Linked DNA regions of Ovis aries. The protein of the gene in region 1 purifies or fractionates together with the protein of each later gene. This does not show direct contact. Links are inferred from orthologs where the notes say so. Each region holds a gene or a part of one and is shown in the gene's direction. Other genes may lie near its edges.

What was found.
Region 2: the proteins of USP25 (region 1) and KLHL9 purify together in Homo sapiens (affinity purification with mass spectrometry; 3 studies listed by BioGRID and IntAct, with this or other methods). This does not show direct contact. The link is inferred for Ovis aries from reciprocal best matches to the Homo sapiens genes USP25 and KLHL9.

Annotation. Positions count from the first base shown.
Region 1 is NC_056054.1:141,980,470-141,984,290, reverse strand, and holds part of USP25 (ubiquitin carboxyl-terminal hydrolase 25), read left to right. Parts: intron 1-3,300; coding exon 3,301-3,496; intron 3,497-3,803; coding exon 3,804-3,821. UniProt on the Homo sapiens protein: Deubiquitinating enzyme that hydrolyzes ubiquitin moieties conjugated to substrates and thus, functions in various biological processes including inflammation and immune response.
Region 2 is NC_056055.1:89,892,417-89,896,917, reverse strand, and holds the start of KLHL9 (kelch-like protein 9), read left to right. Parts: upstream 1-1,642; 5' UTR 1,643-2,172; coding exon 2,173-4,026; 3' UTR 4,027-4,127; intron 4,128-4,501.

The DNA of each region.
Region 1 (3,821 bases):
AAATAATTCATTGTAATATGAAGGTTTTTTCCATTTGGTCATTGAAATTTTTTCCTCAAGTATTTTTACTGTGTATGTGCTTAAATATTATTGTTATGAACTTAAATATTTTCAGCAGTTCTTTTTCCCCACCAGTTTACTTTCTGGCTGGAATATTTTGTTAATGTTTCTTGACTTTGCTTATCTTTAAGTGTAAAACCACGAATTCCATCTTTATACTTTTTATGATTGGATTTCATTTAGCTATTAACATGACTATAGATTGTGAACCTCTAAGTCATGTTTTTTTTTTCTATAAAATACATAAAGGTATGCAAGAGTATATCATTTTTGAGCCAATATAGGTTAATTGGTTTACATGTACTTTAAAAAGACTTTCAGTAGGTGTACTGCTGAAATGTTTTCTTTCAGTAGAACTGCAGAGTATATGTTAATTGTAGTCTGCATTATGTCTTCAGAATTTTTGAATGGCAAGAGTAGAAGCTTGTGATTTTGTTATTTTTCTCTTAGCTGATTTTATTGCATTTGAGTATATTTTAAGACTTTAATTATTGATGGTTTGTATCCATCAAGAATGGTAGTCTTAATTTGTTGTTCTTTAGTCATTAAGTCATGTCTGACCCTCTTGTGACCCCATGGACTGTAGCCCGCCAGGCTCTTCTGTCCATGGAATTCTCCAGGCAAGAATACTTGAGTGTGTTGCCATTTCCTTCTCCAGGGTATCTTCCCGACCCAGGGATCAAACCTGCATTTCCTGCACTGGCAGGCAGATTCTTTACCTCTGAGCCACCAGGGAATCCCATTCTTAATATGGTCAGTTTCAAAAGGTTTTTAATCAATGCCCAAGAAGGAAGATCTGAATTATATTCAGGTTCATAATCCATGCATTGAATGAATCAAAGCACTTGTTAATGTAAAACTTTGCAGTGTTGGAATATTGAAATGTATTGATAAACCTATTTTAAACATAAACACAACTAAAATACTGTCTACCGTAATGGTAGACAGTGTTTATATTATGGTAAAAAGTGTTTATCATTTTATGTTAGTAAGCCAGCCACATTTATTGTTTCACATAGGAATTTAAATGCAGCTTCAAGAGAATTTTAGTGTTCCTTTTAGGTGTTTTCTTTTTTCCTTTTTTAGTTGTTTGGTTTTTTTTTTAATATTGAGAATTTACTGAGTATCAGATTCTGAGGGATGCAAAGATAAGAGCCATTATTATATCCTAAGAGAATTCAATCTGGTGAGAGATGTATACAAGTAATTTTTATATTTCAGAATAAGCATTATGAGAAATACGCAACATAGTATGTTTGGAATTGTTGGAGAGAAGCTTAAGAAATAAGATAAACACTGATCTGTATCCGAATGGATAAATAGGCATTTTGTGCCTTGTAGAGAAGGGGCAAGAAATTCTAGACAAAGGAATATTGTATGAAAAGACATGGAGAGTGTACGACAGAAAATGAAGATAAGTCTGTTGTGGCTTAGTTATGAGAAACAAGTGTAGGTGGACGTGATGAAGCCAACAGTGTTTGTTGATGTCAAACTGTGTAGAAGCTTATGCATCATTCTCATGAGTTGGTTGTAAAGTTGGAATAAATTGGGCATAATCAGTTTTGTTTTTAGAAAGTAATTCTGGCAGTAGTATACTTGAATATGGACTGGAATGGAGTAAAGATTGAAACAAAGAACCCTAGAAAAGATAGTTAGACAGGGAAAAGTATGAAAGAGAAGTTATGTAAATGGTAAAGGAGATGGTCGATAACGATGAGATGAGTGTGAAGAAGGAAGTAGAGGCATTAAAGCCTCATGACTTACTAGATCTGTTTTGTCTTTGGCTTTGGGGACTCTGAAGAGGATGAATAGGTTGGCTTTGGATATAACTATGCTTAAGTTGTCTCTAGGATCTGTTTTGATTTAGTGAACATAACATCAAATTCAGAATAATAATGTCTTTGAATGCAAATTGTAAAAATTACACTATATACTTCAAGGCTTATCTCATTTAATCCTCTTAGCCACTATGTGAGGAAGGTTATATACTATGCCATTTTTCATATGAAGAAGCTGAAGCTAGGAAATTAGTTGTTTGCTGACTGTTAGATAATTACTTAGTGGCTGAGTTGGACTTTTAGCATAAGCTTTCTACAAAGTCAAGATGAATTGCACAAGAATGTCATAACCTAAGAAATAATATGCTTTTTATAATTTAAATTATTTTTAAAATATGAAGATTATTTAAAAATCATACTCTCTGTAAACGTGAGATTTCAGACATAAACGTCTCATGAGCAGGTGGGAGGGAGGCTCATGACAGAGGGGGCTATGTGTATTCTTATAGCTGATTCATACACACAACATTGTTAGAGCAGTTATCCTCCAATTTAAAAAAATGTTTTAAGTCTTATTATACCTGTATCTTTTTTCTATCTCCCATGTCTGTATTTCTTATCTCATGGATTTCTTACTTCTATTTAATTAGATGTCAGCATGCTTGGCCTCTGCTCCCTCCTGCCACTTGTTTTTATAAATGAAGTTTTACCGAAACATAGCCCTGCCCATTCACTTACATACGACTGTCTTGGTGCAGCAATATTAATGTCATTGCAACAAAGACTATATAGCCCTCAGAGCCTAAAATATTCCCTGTCTTGTCCTTTACAGAGAAAATGTTACTGATCCCTGTATTGTAACAGATTGTGAGCTCCATGAGAGTTTTCTTATTAATCATTTGGGTACCCCTGCAACTAAAACAGTTTCTGGCACATGGCATGTACTGAGTAAGAATTTTTTGAAGAAATGAATGATTTAATTGATTACCTTTATATTTCTGTATCAAGAAATATAACAGTCCCTGTTCAGCTGACATTTATGGAAAAGATGAGTTTTTCAAAATTAGTATGGAATCTGAATTTCTTTGCTTTTAAAATTACTTTGAGTGCTTATCATATTTTAGAATTGGGGTAATTCACCTCTGGACAATTAATTTAAAAATAGTTCCTATAGTGATGATCAAAGTAAACTGAATATGAACTTTAAAAACATGACAGCAGTATTTTTCTGACTTTTTTTTTTTTGCTCTTGTTTCTATTGTAACATGCAAATCCTTTTCTAAGAAACTTTTCTCACTCAATAAGCTGAGGTTGCTTTTTCTGATTTCTATTTGTTCTATTACTGTTTGCAAACATGCTTATTATGTTGCCTTCATTATTGTGAGATATTTTTACTTAGTTGAAAAAGGAAACAAACCTGTTTTTTTTTTTCCTCTCTCTCTTTCTCTCTCATTGCGTTAAGAAATTAAATGAGCAAGCTGCAGAACTGTTTGAATCTGGAGAGGATAGAGAAGTAAACAATGGTCTGATTATCATGAATGAATTTATTGTCCCGTTTTTGCCCCTGTTATTGGTGGATGAAATGGAAGAGAAAGACATACTTGCTGTAGAAGATATGAGAAATCGATGGTGTTCCTATCTTGGACAAGAAATGGAATGTAAGTTGAAACAATGCTAGTAGATTCCTGAGTTGTTGGGATTAAAAGGTGTTAGAATTAGATGTTAGTTATTATCATTTTAATATTCTGTGACATTGTTACATTCACATGATTTTTTTTCTTATTTACAAACTAAGCTGTACATACTGCTGTTGCCATTCATGCTTTACTTCTTCCTCCTAAATGGCAATGATTTTGCATGATTTGAAACAAAATATCGGCTGCCTACTCTAAATTAATAAATCTTGTTGAAGATAATTTTTCTCCCTGTCAGTTTTTAGTTATATCTGATTGTTTGTATTTGCAGCAAACCTCCAAGAGAAGC
Region 2 (4,501 bases), on another chromosome or scaffold:
TGTTATCTTCATATTTTCATCAGTTAGCTGATACATAAAGAAACTGGAAGGATGTATAAGACAGTAGTAACTTCAAAATGTGGAAAGTGTTGGAAGCAGTTGTCAAAGTATACATTTATTCATATATCCAAATTTAAATTGACTAGTAATTTTTAAAATATAAGTTAATCAACTATATTTGAATTTTTTAAAATGTAAGTTTTAAAATAACCATTAAGGGAAAGATCAGTAGTGGGATAAATATACACTCAAAGTGTTGACTTTAAAAAAGTACTTAAAAAGAGTTGTGAGTTAAGTTTTATTGGGGGCAAAATGAGACTATTGCCCTGGAGATAGCATTTCACATACTCTGGGAAGCTGCTCCAAAGAGGTAGAGGGGTGGTTGGTATATATGTGATTTTAGTGAAGAGAGGGGTATATGCAATCAAGCATGTTTTTTTGCAGAAGGTTTTGCTAGTCACGAGGGAGCAGATATCACCATGAAGGAATTTAGTGCTTTTCTAGATATGAGGAGATGCAAAAATTGTGCTCCTAAAATCAGCTCCTGAAAATATCTATCTGAAGACCTGTTCTGCCAGTTTTTCCAGAGCACAAGAGTGCCTCCTTTCTGATCTCCACTCTGAACACCCATCAGGTGGTGTTGAAGGTCAGCAGCTACAACAGCAGGAGAGATTTATTCAATCCTTGTAGAGGTAGATGGCAAGTGCCAATGAAAAGTGCCAATATGTAGTTTTTCAAAACATCTCTGGTGACAATATTTTGCAAAAAACTTTGTATGTCTTCAAGCAGCATTCTAACATTAGGATTTATCCCAAAATGGGAAGTTTTGTGCTCGGAGTCTGTAACATTGGAGAACAACGAAGTATATATTCAGGAACAAATGACAATTGTCTATCCATTTAAAAACTTGTGAGTGGAAAACAAAAGCACGAAAAATTTACTGATGGAATTCTGCTGCATGGCAAAAATTCAGCCTATATTATTTACATAGCATGGTCATAATTTGGTATTTTAAGAGAGGCAAATAACCTGTTTTAAATGATTAAAATCTGAAAATATGTACCCAGAGTTATACTTGAACTGTCTATTAAATTGTGTGGGATAGGTTTTTTGTTGGTTTTTTTTTTGGTTGAGGAGTTTGAGGGATCTTGGTCTGCAGCCAGGGTTTGAACCCTGGCCACAGCAGTGAAAGTGCCGAGTCCTAACCACTGACCTGCCAGAACATTCCCAGTGTGGGATAAGAATTAATAAAGTTTGTTTTTTATAGAGGAAAACTAAAAGCATCTTTCCCCTAAGGAAGCCTTCTGCCAGGTTTCAGCTTCCAGAAAAGCTGCATTTCATTGTTATCCAAAAGGCAGAAGCCAAGAAATGTAAATCTCGAAGTATTCATTTAGAGGAACAGCTCAGCTGCAGTGAAAGAGTTATATTAAAAATAATATCCGGGCACCCATTCCTATTTAATAATACCACATACAAAGTATCCCGAAGACACCCCGCTGGCCCACCCAGCACAGCTCTGCGCGACCCAAACCCCGCCTGCTCGAGGCACGGCCCACATCCTCCCATCCCCCACACAAGCCCGCCTACTGGCTAGGTCGGGCGGCTGCGCAGCCGCAGTAGCTGCCACGGCCGCTCCTAGCCCGGGGGATCCTGGGACGAGGCCTTTCCGGAAGGACCGGCTCGGCGTTGGGAGCTCGGCCCGTGTTCCAGGCCCAGGCTCGTGTTCCAGGTCCTTGCTCCAGGACGGGCCGGTAGCCGCGGCGACGCTCAAAGGGCGGCGGAGGGCGCGGCGGGCCGCTCTCTGAGGTGCCGGCCCTCGCCGTCGAGCGAGACGCCGGGCCGCAGGACGTGGCGGCACCTCCCCCTTAGCCCGGAGCAGAACTGCGGGAAGAGCAGCGCAGGCCGGACCAGGTGAACCGGGTCACTTAACTGCCTCAGGTGATGAATCATCTACATAGTAGTCAGATTTGAGGTCCACAGCCCTCTGTGGGCCAGCTGCAGAACAATTTTCAATGTGGGACTATTGTGTTCTGAGGCGTGCTGCAGTGACAGTTTGCCCTTGATAAGGAAAGCGAGCTCTCTTGCTCTTGGGACATCCTCGTTTCCTTTAAAGCTTTCCGGTCGTAACCTCTTTGTCCGGCATACATCTTTGTGCAAGAGGAAGGCGTTCACATGAAAGTGTCTCTTGGTAACGGTGAAATGGGCGTCTCCGCCCATTTACAGCCTTGCAAGGCAGGAACCACACGTTTTTTTACCAGCAATACTCACAGTTCGGTGGTACTGCAAGGTTTTGATCAACTTAGAATAGAAGGATTGCTTTGTGATGTGACTCTGGTGCCAGGTGATGGAGATGAAATCTTCCCTGTTCATAGAGCTATGATGGCGTCCGCTAGTGATTACTTCAAGGCTATGTTCACAGGTGGAATGAAAGAACAGGATTTAATGTGCATTAAGCTTCACGGAGTGAACAAAGTTGGTCTGAAGAAAATTATTGATTTTATTTATACTGCAAAGCTTTCTCTTAATATGGACAATCTTCAGGACACTCTTGAAGCTGCCAGCTTTTTGCAAATCTTGCCTGTTTTAGACTTCTGTAAAGTGTTTCTTATTTCAGGAGTCTCTTTAGATAACTGTGTTGAAGTTGGACGAATTGCTAACACCTACAATCTTATAGAAGTAGATAAATATGTCAATAATTTCATTCTGAAGAATTTTCCTGCCTTACTGAGTACTGGAGAGTTTCTAAAACTCCCTTTTGAACGGCTTGCCTTTGTGCTTTCTAGCAATAGCCTTAAGCACTGTACTGAACTTGAGCTCTTTAAGGCTGCCTGTCGCTGGCTAAGGTTGGAAGATCCTCGGATGGATTATGCTGCAAAATTAATGAAGAATATTCGATTTCCACTGATGACACCACAGGATCTCATCAATTATGTGCAGACAGTAGATTTTATGAGAACAGACAATACGTGTGTGAATTTGCTTTTGGAAGCTAGCAATTACCAAATGATGCCATATATGCAGCCAGTGATGCAGTCAGATAGAACCGCCATTCGATCTGATTCGACACACTTGGTTACATTAGGAGGAGTTTTGAGGCAGCAGCTGGTTGTCAGTAAAGAATTACGGATGTATGATGAGAGGGCTCAAGAGTGGAGATCTTTAGCCCCCATGGATGCTCCTCGTTACCAGCATGGCATTGCTGTCATTGGAAACTTTCTTTATGTAGTTGGTGGTCAAAGTAATTATGATACAAAAGGAAAAACTGCTGTTGATACAGTTTTCAGATTTGATCCTCGATATAATAAATGGATGCAGGTTGCATCATTAAATGAAAAGCGCACATTTTTCCACTTGAGCGCCCTCAAAGGACATTTGTATGCTGTTGGTGGGCGAAGTGCAGCTGGTGAGCTGGCCACTGTAGAATGTTACAATCCAAGAATGAATGAGTGGAGCTATGTTGCGAAAATGAGTGAACCCCACTATGGCCATGCTGGAACAGTGTATGGAGGCTTAATGTATATTTCAGGAGGAATTACTCATGACACTTTCCAAAATGAGCTCATGTGTTTTGACCCTGATACAGACAAATGGACACAGAAGGCTCCAATGACAACAGTCAGAGGTCTGCATTGCATGTGTACAGTTGGAGACAAGCTCTATGTCATTGGTGGCAATCACTTCAGAGGAACAAGTGATTATGATGATGTTCTAAGCTGTGAATACTATTCGCCAACTCTTGACCAGTGGACACCAATTGCTGCCATGTTAAGAGGTCAAAGTGATGTTGGAGTTGCTGTCTTTGAAAATAAAATCTATGTCGTAGGTGGATATTCTTGGAATAATCGTTGTATGGTAGAAATTGTCCAGAAATATGACCCAGAAAAGGATGAGTGGCATAAAGTTTTTGACCTTCCAGAGTCACTTGGTGGCATTCGAGCTTGTACTCTCACAGTTTTTCCACCTGAAGAAAATCCTGGGTCACCTTCCAGAGAATCACCTCTTTCAGCACCTTCAGATCATTCTTAGGACCAAGGTGTAAAACCTTTGCAGTGCATCAAGGATGATCCCGTAATTCCCCTTCAGTTGTATCTTCTTACAATGATTGGTACAGTTATTAGATTAAAAAGGTAATTGATGTTATTTGTATTGTTTGGCTTAGTATGTTTATCAAATGGTTAACAACTGTATTCTGCAAATGTATGTGTTCAACATAGCTATTTTAACAAATGTAAAAAGCAGAAAAATTGTTAGATATCTTTTTGTGGTGTTGTGTAAGGCAGAGTGTAGGTGATTGAAGTAAATGTATAATTATGTTCATTATGCTTCAAAGTTGAAAGTTTTCATCTTTGACTACAAGACATCAAAGGGAGGATGCCTACTATAACCTAAAATAATAAACAAAAAAGGTCGTCAAGCCTTATTAGCTGCTTCCCTTTTTTCATGGTTTGTGACATAGCTGCTGACTCACCAAATTGTGTGGGTACATTCAGAATATGTGACA